3 linked regions of the Drosophila melanogaster genome follow. The gene in region 2 interacts genetically with the main gene of each other region. Each region holds a gene or a part of one and is shown on either strand. Other genes may lie near its edges.

Evidence for each region.
Region 1: of tut (region 2) and Cpsf5, changing one enhances a phenotype caused by changing the other (phenotypic enhancement), as found in Drosophila melanogaster (one study listed by BioGRID).
Region 3: of tut (region 2) and Cpsf73, changing one enhances a phenotype caused by changing the other (phenotypic enhancement), as found in Drosophila melanogaster (one study listed by BioGRID).

The regions. Positions count from the first base shown.
Region 1 is NT_037436.4:9,408,958-9,412,710, reverse strand, and holds the start of Cpsf5 (cleavage and polyadenylation specific factor 5), read right to left. Parts: upstream 1,674-3,753; 5' UTR 1,436-1,673; coding exon 1,290-1,435; intron 1,233-1,289; coding exon 968-1,232; intron 895-967; coding exon 729-894; intron 557-728; coding exon of another isoform or gene 522-556; exon of another isoform or gene 1-521. Other genes in the region: CG4022 (uncharacterized protein), read left to right, coding at 2,745-3,191, 3,279-3,448, 3,520-3,753.
Region 2 is NT_037436.4:8,208,993-8,212,745, forward strand, and holds tut (tumorous testis), read right to left. Parts: upstream 1,752-3,753; 5' UTR 1,680-1,751; coding exon 1,566-1,679; intron 1,500-1,565; coding exon 1,321-1,499; intron 1,266-1,320; coding exon 866-1,265; 3' UTR 585-865; downstream 1-584. Other genes in the region: CG8006 (uncharacterized protein), read left to right, coding at 2,973-3,753. UniProt on the Drosophila melanogaster protein: RNA binding protein that forms a complex with bam and bgcn, involved in 3'UTR-dependent regulation of a subset of mRNAs. Preferentially binds a long isoform of mei-P26 transcripts.
Region 3 is NT_033777.3:18,661,880-18,665,632, forward strand, and holds the start of Cpsf73 (cleavage and polyadenylation specificity factor 73), read right to left. Parts: upstream 1,674-3,753; 5' UTR 1,577-1,673; coding exon 1,509-1,576; intron 1,453-1,508; coding exon 1,291-1,452; intron 1,229-1,290; coding exon 1-1,228. Other genes in the region: Gos28 (golgi SNARE, 28 kDa), read left to right, coding at 1,917-1,938, 2,004-2,188, 2,730-3,118, 3,189-3,291; CG31231 (uncharacterized protein), read left to right, coding at 3,575-3,753. UniProt on the Drosophila melanogaster protein: Component of the cleavage and polyadenylation specificity factor (CPSF) complex that plays a key role in pre-mRNA 3'-end formation, recognizing the AAUAAA signal sequence and interacting with poly(A) polymerase and other factors to bring about cleavage and poly(A) addition.

The sequences.
Region 1 (3,753 bases), 1.2 Mb from region 2:
CAAAACACGCGAGATTTGGGCACATGACTGCGACAGCCAGCAACGTTACAATGCTCTTCTGCTGCCTGCCCGATGGATTGGATTGCTTTCGATAAATACACAACAACCTTAAGATGAACGACACATGACACTTCACAAAAGTAAGAATAGAAGCTAGGAAATAAATAAAATATGTAAATAGAAGGATAACATTGCTGCGCTCAGTCTCACAAGTATGTCGACATATTTACAAAATTAAGTACAAGAACAATCTTTGAATTTCGAATGATAAAAATCGGGAAATAACAAAATATGCCAACACTCAGTCCTGAGCAAAAATACAATTTGAATTTGATTTTCGACATGTTGTACAATTGGACTAGAATCAAAACTAACTAAGGAGTCGCCTGCGCCAGCTTTTGCGATCTGTTTGTTTCTTTTCTGTTTGATCTGTTCTGTTTGCTCGATTTGTTGTTCTATGGCATTGCACTCTTGAGATTAGAGTTGGGTAGATACGACACACACGGCGCTAATGGAACTGCTCAGGGTACATCGTAACTGGCGTTCCCGTCCGTATCTAAACAGCATTGAAAAGATATGACATGAGGTTTGTTAGCGTATTCGGTTTTTGGCAAACAAAAACAATCTATAGGTTATATAAAGTACATGGAGAGATGGATATTCTGGATACACGGTGTGCTCGTTATACCTACGCGTAGGGACTTACAAAACGCCCTGCGGATATTTACCCTTTTCATGTAGCTGGACGAGGAAAAGCCGCTTGTGCTCCTTGGGCTTGGTGATGTGCGGCGGAATGTATGGATATTGCGGTGGCTCAAAGTTCGGCCGCCACCAGTTCCCAATCGTGTCCTCAACAATCCACTCCTGCTTTACGCCGTCCTGACGACCCAGCGTCTACGAAATAATAAAAGTAGTGATAGTTAAGATCAAATAACAATATTTAACTATGGCGCCACGTTTGACTTACCTCGGATAGCAATCTCTTGAGGCCCTCGACCTCATCCTCGCCGGCGTTTAGCTCGCCACCGGGCAATTTGAAGAACGTGGTGCCCAGCTGCAGGAGCAAGACATGTGGCAGTCCGTGCTCGTGGACCAGAAGCACTCCCTCGACGGAGCGCCGCATTCCGATCCGGTCGAATTCCTCGCGCATCCGCTGGAATCGGGATGGCACCGACGGATCCTTCTCAAAGAGCGGCTCCTTGGTGCCGAATGTGTAGTTCGTAAGGGGGTATCTGAAACAATCGATCGATCTATGATGTGCGTCTATGAATGAAATGTGTTGTACCCACAAGTTGATGGTGCGATTGATGGTTAGCGCCTGGTTGGTGTACTTCTGGGTACCGTTGTTATTGCTGCTGGCTGCATCCGCTTGGCCTTGGCTTCCGCGGCGCGGCCAACCGGAGCCCGATTTGTTTGAGACTTGCGAGGACGCCATTTTGTTATACACACACCCCTGTGGGAAAATTTGCGGGACAAGCTGGCCGACTTTCTACCAAATCCTTTGGTTGTGCGTTGGAAACTTGTATTCCAATAATATTATAATCCTTAACTGTTTATTTACAAGTTATACTATAAATGTAAACCCGTTTTAAGCCGCTTAATTACACTTTTCTGTCCAGCGCTTGTGCAAAAAAATTAACCGGCTGGACGAGGGCTGCACGTGAATTGATTGATGATGAGCAGAACTGGTTCGTTGAACTAGATTATGGAATTAATCGATTTCGTACTTTGTGTGAAATAAACTTGTAATGACCTTTTGCTTAATATTTATTAAAGATTTATTCAATTTTTTGTTTTATTTTTAAATGCAGTTTTAAATTATTGTTTGTTTACATATGTAACGACAGCCCTGGTGTTTCTTGTCTAATGGCAACGCTCTGAAATTGCGCAGCAACCCCATCTGGCCACACTGACCCATTAGTTTTTTGTTTATGTTGGGTTGTCGGAAAAATCGGCTGTTTTCCGTGTGTCCGTCTGCCATGAAAAGCTGCTAAAAAGCTAAATATAAAAATCAGCGCAGCACACACGTTCCGCTGCCTGCATTGTTTGCCCATTCTAATGGGAAATTATGTGAGTGCGAGTCAGGAAAACGCATCGTGTGTGTATATATACATATATACATAAGTATGTAACTGCGCCCGTTTGTTTGTGTGTGTTTTTGTGTGCATGGTGCAATGGAAAAGTGATTATTATAAATGAAAATCAGTGAAATGTGTAAGTGTGGCACCGCAAACGCTTTGAACTTTTCCATTTTCATGTTTTCACCTTGTCTTCTCTTCTCTTCTTCACCCACCTCCCCCGTAGTCAACCAACTCCCACTTGTGCGTGTGTAGGAAGGCAGAAGGGTGTTTTGCATTCGTGTGCGTGCCAGATAAAAAGACTTTGAATTTCTGGAGGATATTAGTGTCAACTGTGTGGGGTATAATACGCCGTAGGCCCTAATATGCAGGCAAGTCCATTAATTACGCCAAAGGTCACAGGTTAGGCACGCAGCCAGGATCCAAGGAGCAATAATAATGTTGTATGAAGGCGACCTGTAAGCGAGAGCGAGAGAGCTGGTGTTTTGGTGTGAGTGCGTGGTAGAACAAAGAGGACGAAAAACACGGCTAACGAATTCGCCGCACGACACACTCGCCGCATGGCGAATTCAAACGTATCCCAGTGAACGAATGAGAAACAAAAGGATATCTTATTGAAACTGATTAAACTAAAGACTGCCGAATAGTTATATAAAATCCAAAACCATGTCTGCGGCCGAACTCGAGGCGGAGGCTTCAGCCCAGGAGCAACAATCCCAGCAACAACAACAAAATCAATCACAAAGCGAGGAGATAAATACAAACACTGCCATCAATGCAAATGCAACCACAACAAATAGCTACAACAATAATTTAGATACGGAAACCCAGCTTCAGATGCACCAGGATCCGCAGCAGCAGCAGGAACTCGAGGGCAATAGCAACAATGGCATCACAGGACTCGGCCTCAGTCTGATGAACTCCTCACCGCCGCCGCACAGCTACCGACATTCGCGGGCCTATCGCCACTTCAAGAATCCGCCACAGCCCCACATGTGCATCCGCACCACCACGGAGGCGGGCGAGGAGCTCTTCATCAATGTCCTCAGCTGGACGCGCATTGTGATACCGCAGGAGCCCAGCGATCCCATTCCCCTTTACGGAGGCATGCGGGTAAGATTCCTTAGATTAAGTGTCCTCAAACATTCACGTCGGTGTTTCCTTTATTAGTTATTTATGTTAATGTTCTTATTCATTAAGGTACCGCCTGGCAGCCCACGCAGTCCTCCCATTGTCTTTGCCGTAATGGCCAATCCGGAGGTGCTCAAAGACTCCGGACGTCACAGCAAAGATCCTGAGGAGCGACGAGCTATGGTGGAGCTGATGTGCGACTTTGTGGAGGCTATGAATCCAGGCGTGAAATTAGTCAGGTATATAATAACACTATTAGTTTACTGCCCGATTAAAAACAAGAATAAAAATATATGTAATACATCTCCAGAAACGCCGTAATACTCAAGGATCGCGATATCTCCGGCGAGCTGAAGGATGTCTGGAATGCCGTTCAGGCGCAGCGCGATCGCGAGAGGGAGGAGCAGATGATGCAGCAGCGCCAGCAGCAGCACTACCAGAACATCACCACGCAACAGATGTTTCCCAAATCGCCGGATGCATCGCGGGCAGCTAGTGCTGGTGCTGCAGTGAACGAGGCCAGCTCGCCGCCGGCTCACTTGTC
Region 2 (3,753 bases):
TGCGCTCCCTCCACTCCCGTCCGTCGATCATTGCACTTTGGAGACCCGTAATCTGGAGTCAGACCCGGTACCCAGACACCGTGTCCAACACAATGCCAGCCGGAGGCTAGCGTCGACTCCTGCTCGCTGCACTCATTTAATTGCATTATGCCGCAGGTTGTCGCATTGCCCTGAAAGTCCTGGCTGCCACTCCGCCACTCCAAAGACACTGCATTAATTTGCATGTGAAAAACTGCAGCTTCGCTGCGCTGTCGGTGTTGTTTTTTTTATTTTTTTTTATTTTTATGGCTGCTCGCTGTTTTTGCCCAGAGTTAATGAAGTCAACAAGCTGCGGCTGCATTTCATCAGAGTGAGAAGCGGCGGGCCAAAAGGATTTGCCAGGAACAATGCTGTGTATAATTTCCCCCTGTCCTAACAACTGGTGAAAGTTTATGTTACATTCGCATGGGCAGCAACATAATTTACTGCCCAGAGAGCCACAGGAATTCCAAAATCCGCTTGGTTAGTTTTTTTTTAAGGTATAGTATGCATTCTAAAAGTGATTTGATATTTGGCTTTAAAATTTCATTAAAAAATCAGAGATTAACTTTGCAAAACACATATTCTTGTTTTCAAATTCCACGTATTACAAAAACTTACACAAATCAAGCAATAAACATCTTCATTCATATCTAAATGGTTGACTTATTTAAGAGTACTCTTATTTTACTTATAAACTTATTTAACAATAGAAAAAATATAACTAAAGTATTAAAGTATTTTATACATTTTCGTCCTACTTACGTGTAGTACAAACAAAACATTTGGAGCCTTATGGATTTGGTAGCATGAACCAATAAAGTAACATACTTGATACCACTTCCATTTAAAACTTGAAACAGCCCTTTTGTCTGGGAGGAACGCGTCGAGTACGATTTTGGCTTACTTCCCGTTGAAAACAGAAGCTACCGCTGGCTCTGCTCAAGATGTTCTCCGCAGTCAACCAGGAGATGTGCGCATGCTCACCGAATTTTCTGATCGAATTCCTTACTCTCTGATGGGCACTTGCGGCCGAGTCGTTGTTGCGGTACTCAAATATATAGAAGAACTGGTCTAATTGATACTCGTAGACTCGAACGATGGTAAAGGGATGTATCTTCAACATCTCCTGGTACACTTGCCATGGTCTAAGCGACGATTCTACGTTTTTGAGCACCAGCTCGCGATTGTTGGTCGATGGCTCCACCCTTAAGCACATGCAAAGCTGTCGGAATCGCATTGGCAGACTGGGATTATTAGGGTTAGTGCTGTTTTATGTGAAAATTATTACGAAGTACGTACTATTGCATTGCCGATTCCTTGAGGTCCACATTGATATATTGCAAGTAGGCGTAGCCGCGAGAATTTCCCGAAAAATCAATCTTATAGCGCATAATGTAAACTTCACCCAGTTCGCTGGCCACTTCCACAATCCACCGCGGAGAACAACTGTGATTCCTCGGTATACACGAGAGAAACAGCTAGAAGCAAAAACGTATTAGTGTCTCCGTAAACTTTTGAGACTAGATGCTTCACTAGACACTCACCTCGCCCTTTCCCTCATCCAGTAAGGATTTTAGATTTTCATCAAGGACTTTGCGCGTAGTTATGGTAATAGTGCCATTTACTTGACTGGTGCAGTATTTGCTCTCGAAATCCATTTTAAAAATAGCAAAAAAAAAAAAATACACAGCATACACGCGTGCATCAAAAAAAAAAAAAAAAGCTAAGATGCCAATGATTTAGTGTGACCAAATAAGCTTTAAAACATACAACGCTCGCGACGTTGCCAGATAGTCAATGAAGTTGGTAAAATTCTTTATACTTAACACTTAGGTAAAGTAACGGAGGGGCATAAACTTATTATTGTTTATGAACTTGTTTGAATGTTTAACATTTGTGTAAAATAGAGAGTGTTTTCATATTATATTTTTGCGTAAGAGGTCTTTTTTTGGCATTGCTGCGAACTCAGCTCTATACGAAGGTATTCTATTTTTGCTATGTACTTTATGCATTTACTTTACTCTTTTTCCAAACCGCTTTTTGCATGTCAGGCAATTTCTTTGCTCTTTATTTTTGCTTTCTTTTGACAGGCTGCGCGTGCTTTTTTCTAGCTCATGTTTAACAATATAAATTTATGCAGGCAGTCGGTCGTTTGCAACTTTTGCTCACAGTTCGCCACAAGCCGCAGCACCTATGTATGTATGTATGTAGGTTCGCATCGCATTCGCTGTTGTTGTTGCTGCGGTTAAGCCGCCCATCCGCCACCCACTCCACCACCCACTCACCCCACCAGGGGGCATCTTGATGGAGGTTGCGGTGCACTCAAGTGCCTGCTGCCGCTGCTGCTGCTTCATTTTCCTAATTTATACGCGCGCTGCGCTAATGAAAATTTACGTGGCAACCGCATACTGTTTTGTTGCTACTGCTGTTACACTAATAATTCATTGTTTCGAAATGGCCATAAGCAAATTACTGACATTAAACTATTTGTGGGAGGTAACATGTTGTTAGATTAATACACAACAGTTTTCTTAAATGAAGTGGTAAATGCAAAAGCTATCACTGTGAAGTCCAGTTTAGTCCACGTAGTGTAGAGACGCACCAGGTAAGAGTGTTTCGACAAGAAAATCCATTAAGTTCTTTGAAAAGTAAGCTCTGATATTCTTTGTTTAAAGTGTAGTGTCGCTGCTCCTTGTGCTTGTTGCCAGACGTGGGCCCACCACTTGAAGCATCTCTGAGAAACCCTGAGCTCCACTTTTGACCCCCCTCCCCTTTCTGCGGTTGAGAGACGTTTGGTGACAGTCGCCGAGTAAGGCCACTAGTCCCACTTATATTTCCGCATTTCCTTACCCGATTTGAGTAAGCGGTTTCATTTTATTCAAATCATTAAAATTACAAATATTTTTTGGGAACAAAATCAGTTGATTCCGGTTGAATATGCGAATGTGGCCATGAAGGATCTAAGCGAGGAGTTACTGGATCGCCATTTCAGGCAGCAGCTAGCCAGTTACAAGTATGCCGATCAGGCAAGGGCTAAGCAGTCGGATCGCCCCATCATGGCCAGATGGATAAAGATATTCGAGAAGGCTCCTCTCAGCGAGAAGTTGGCCCGAAATAGCCTGATGCTGCTCATGCATGGCCACTTGAAGGACTTTGGAGTGCTCAAGGAACCGTTCACGGATGTGCGTAACTACAGTAGGAATCTGAACGTAATTTTGGATGAGTACAGAGGCCAGCCATGTAAGAAGTTAGCTACTGGCAAATCACCTACACTGCTCAAGAAGTGCTCGACTCAAATTTTACGACCCAGGAAACTGGAACCCATCAAGGAGGTTTCCGAACAATCGGAAAATGATCCTACGACCAGTAGTTTTGCCAGCATTGTGACAATAATACGAAAAACAAATACGCGATCCTCTGACTCGAAGGATAGCCAAGTTTATCCAAGGACTGGCTTCGAGTCCCCAAATGGTGCTGATAGTCACACTGTGAAGAAGAGAGTCGAACTATTGGAGTATGAGCTCTCGAGAAATAAGCAGCATCCATCGAGCTCCACATTCAATCGGGATGCACCTGACAGCGGAAGAACCCATTCCTCCAGTTCCTTATCCCAAGAGAAACTCATCAAGATCACCAATGTCATAGATCAGGTCAACCGCCGATCAAGTGCTGTGAAAAATCTGAGGGATTGCTTTGAGGAAATGGCCGAACGTTTGAAAAACACAATCGAAT
Region 3 (3,753 bases), on a different chromosome or scaffold from region 2:
TTTGCTTCCCACCTCCGAGTTCTTGGCTGCGAGGCTTCCCATCACCTTGGCGGTTTTCTCGCCACGGAAATAAAGATCCACGGCATGTGTGTTTCGCGGGTTGTAGAATTTTATATCCGTGCTTGCATCTGCTTCGTATTCCCGCTGCAGGGCCAACTTCAGACGCGACATCTCGTTCTGCTCGCCGTGGACGAGCACGACATGCGTTGGCTTTAGTAGGCGGATGAATTCACTGGTCTGCTGGTAGTCCGTGTGAGCCGAAAACGATATGTAGTCGACGGACATGTTGAGCGGCAGCTTCTGGCCCGACAGTGTGGTGATCTCCTCCGGCTCGGAGAGAACGGCTTTGGCCAAAGTGCCCTCCACGCAGTAACCGGCTATAATCACTCCGTTCTTGGGATCTGTGCACCAGCTCTCGAAGAGCTCTCGCGACAATCCCGACTGCATCATACCCGGCGACGCCATGATTACGCAGGGTCCGATATCCTCGAAGTGATCGATACCCTTCAGGTTGGAAATGTGGCGGAAAACGAAGGGATTGTTCACAGCTATCTGTCGTCGAATTCGATCGTTCATAGCATTGATGTACGTCTGGTAGACAGCCATGCACTTCTTGGCCAAAGAGGAGGCATAGTAGATGGGAATCTCGTGCAGATCCGGGTTCTGCGACCAGAATTCATCCAGAATAAGTAGCAGTTCTTGGGCACGGCCCAAAGCAAATACTGGAATTAAGCATCTCCCGCCTTGCTGAACAATTTTCTGCACCAGCGAGGTAAATCGATTCTCTCGATCCTCTCTTTTCTCGTGAATGTGAGTGCCGTAGGTGGACTCTGTGATAAGAACATCCGGCTTCATCGGTGGCACTTCGGCAGCCATCAAATGTCGATCCTCCTGGCGCGAAAAGTCACCAGTATACAAGATCTTGATGCCAGCAATCTCGATCATGAACATGGCGGCACCCAAAACATGACCAGCAATATAGGCACAAAAGCGTACGCCCATCACATCGCGCTCCTCGTGGAAATTGATCGTCTCGATCTTCTCCATGGAGGCCTCCAGATCGGCTTCCGTGTATAGCATCTGTTCGGTGGATATGTTACTGATCTTGATGTAATCGGACAGCATCCATCGGTAAATGGCTTTCGTGGCATGGGTCATAAAGCAGCGGCCTTTAAAGCTGGTCTTCATGAGAAACCAAGGCAAGGCACCGCAGTGATCCAAGTGGAAACTGATAAATATAAGCATTCACCATTAAAAGTTCAATGCCCATTTAATCGCCGCAGTACTTACTGTGATATAAACAGCAGATCAATCTCATCCGCCTCTATTAGATCTACGTAGGGCAGGGCATCCATGCCGGACAATCCCGGATGGATTCCGCAGTCCAGCATTATCTTCTTGCCCTTAAATTCCAACATGATGCAGGAGCGTCCCACTTCCTGGCCAGCACCACTGAAATATAAGCGTTACCCTTGAGCTTCTATCTGGTTTAAATCAAGATTCCTTACAGTGGCTTGATCTGCAGCAGGTCGCTTTCCTCGTCTGGCATGCGTGCATCACCTGTTGCCTGCGTCATGATGTCTAAAATAATGTAATCAATAACAAACTTTTTTACAAATCGCCGGCAACAAAACGCTGTGCACGGCAGTGTGACCAAAGTTTGATGACTGCCGGTATGGACCTGTTCACACAAGGGCTGGAAAAGAACATTGTACTTTTTCCTTTTACATTAACATTAAGTTATTAGGACAATTTAATTTTCTCGTAAACATTTGTTCATTAAGTAGGGCCTAGATTAAATCTGGCTATTAATCTTTCCCGATACTCTCAACTCATTCCACTTGGGCCCCGCCTGACCTGGTCACACCGATTGCCACACGAAAGTCGAACAAATAAAGGAAAACTATTTTTGACAAATGGGAGGATCCAGCTACGATGGTGAGCAGTGGGACTTAATGGTTACCTTCCATATAAGCTATCTCTCCTCTCGACCTCCCGCACAGTGCTCAGGAAGCAGGCGCGGAGCCTGGAAAACGAGATCGACCTGAAGCTGGTGGCATTCAGCAAAATCGGAGCTGGCAGTGGAGGAGGTGGAAGTGGAGGACTAGGAGGCGTTGACACATCGCCGCTCCTGGGCGAGCACGTCTTCGATTCGCTGTCGGAGGAGATCGAGCAAATGCTGGAGAAGGTGCGATATGTGACCCAATGCCATGCGATGGTGCAGGGATTAAACCCGAAACAATGTAGTGCGGATTCCTTATTTATTTATTAAGCAAATTTCTGTGCCACCGGCTTTGTGCTACTATGAATTACTAATTTCCCACTAAGCCTTCCCAAAAATCATAATTTAATTGGCAGAATTGAGCACACAATTGAAAAACTGCCACGATTAACTTATATATATTGAAAACATTCCATCACTTTCCAATTTTTTATGAATCTGTATATATATTATACTTTATTATTCGAGTTTTTTTTATGCTCTGATCTTTGCTAAATTCTTTAAAAGAAAATGTTTAAGAATTCCTCTTTGAATTCGCTAAATGAATTCCATTTGATAAATACTTTAATAGATAATTCCAAGTAATGAATGAGTCACCGACTGAAGCACAAAATGTTCAAATTGTTTTGCTTGTTAAGTTATCTACGTTTTTTAGGCAATTCCCATATCTATAGAATTTCTATAGAATAGAAGGATTTCATTTCTATTTCATCCTTCTTAATTGCAGCTATCCTCGCTAAATGAGTCCATGTCCGATTTGCCCGCCTCTGGAGCAGCCGCCATGCACACACTGCAGAGGCATCGAGAGATCCTGCAGGGGTATCGCCAGGAGTTCAATAAGATCTGCGCCAATCACACAATGCGAATCGAGCGAGAGGAGCTGCTTCGTGGCTCAGGGTTGGCCACCAGCTCCGGCAGTCCATCCATCTCGGGCCTAAACCGGCGAGAAATGTACCTGAAGGAGAGCGGGCACCTCAACAGCGCCAGTCACTTGGTCAACGATCAGATAAATATCGCGATTGAGACGCGTGACCATCTTCACGCCCAGCGACAAGCATTCAAGCGGCTGCAGACCCGCTTTAACGATATCTCCAATCGATTCCCACTGATTTCCAGGTGAGACAGACGAGTTCTCAATTCAATTTATGCATATTTACTTATCCAATTATTTGTTGTATATGCACAGTCTCATTCAGCGCATCAACATTAAAAAGCGACGCGATTCGCTGATCCTGGGAGCAGTTATTGGCTTCTGTGTGATCTTGCTGCTGCTCTACGCCTTCAACTAGTGACCCGCCACCGCGATTTGGCCAAAGATAGAGCTTGCATTAAACTCCATTACAGACAATTGAATTTTAGTTTGTTTTTTCCGACGGTATATGTGTATGATTAACTTGTGATAGCAATAAAATGTACTATATAAGACAAAACCCAACAGCCATTGATTCTAATCTCAAGCAGCAGTTAATAATTTTAGGCAAACAGCAAACATAACAACTTATGTATATACCAAAAAGAAACCCAAAACATTTAAAACATTTACGTTATTGAAACGACTTCAATTGCACAGAGATGGCTGAAAATGCACCAGAAGAGGCTGCCCCCATAGACAATGCCGAGGAGATTCCACCCGCGGAGATTCCAGCCGCGGAGGATGCTCCCAAACTAGTAACGATCGCGGAAGCGGCGGAGGGTGCAGAAATCCAAGGTGAGACAGCTAACGTAGATCAAATAGAAGGAGAAGGCGAAAC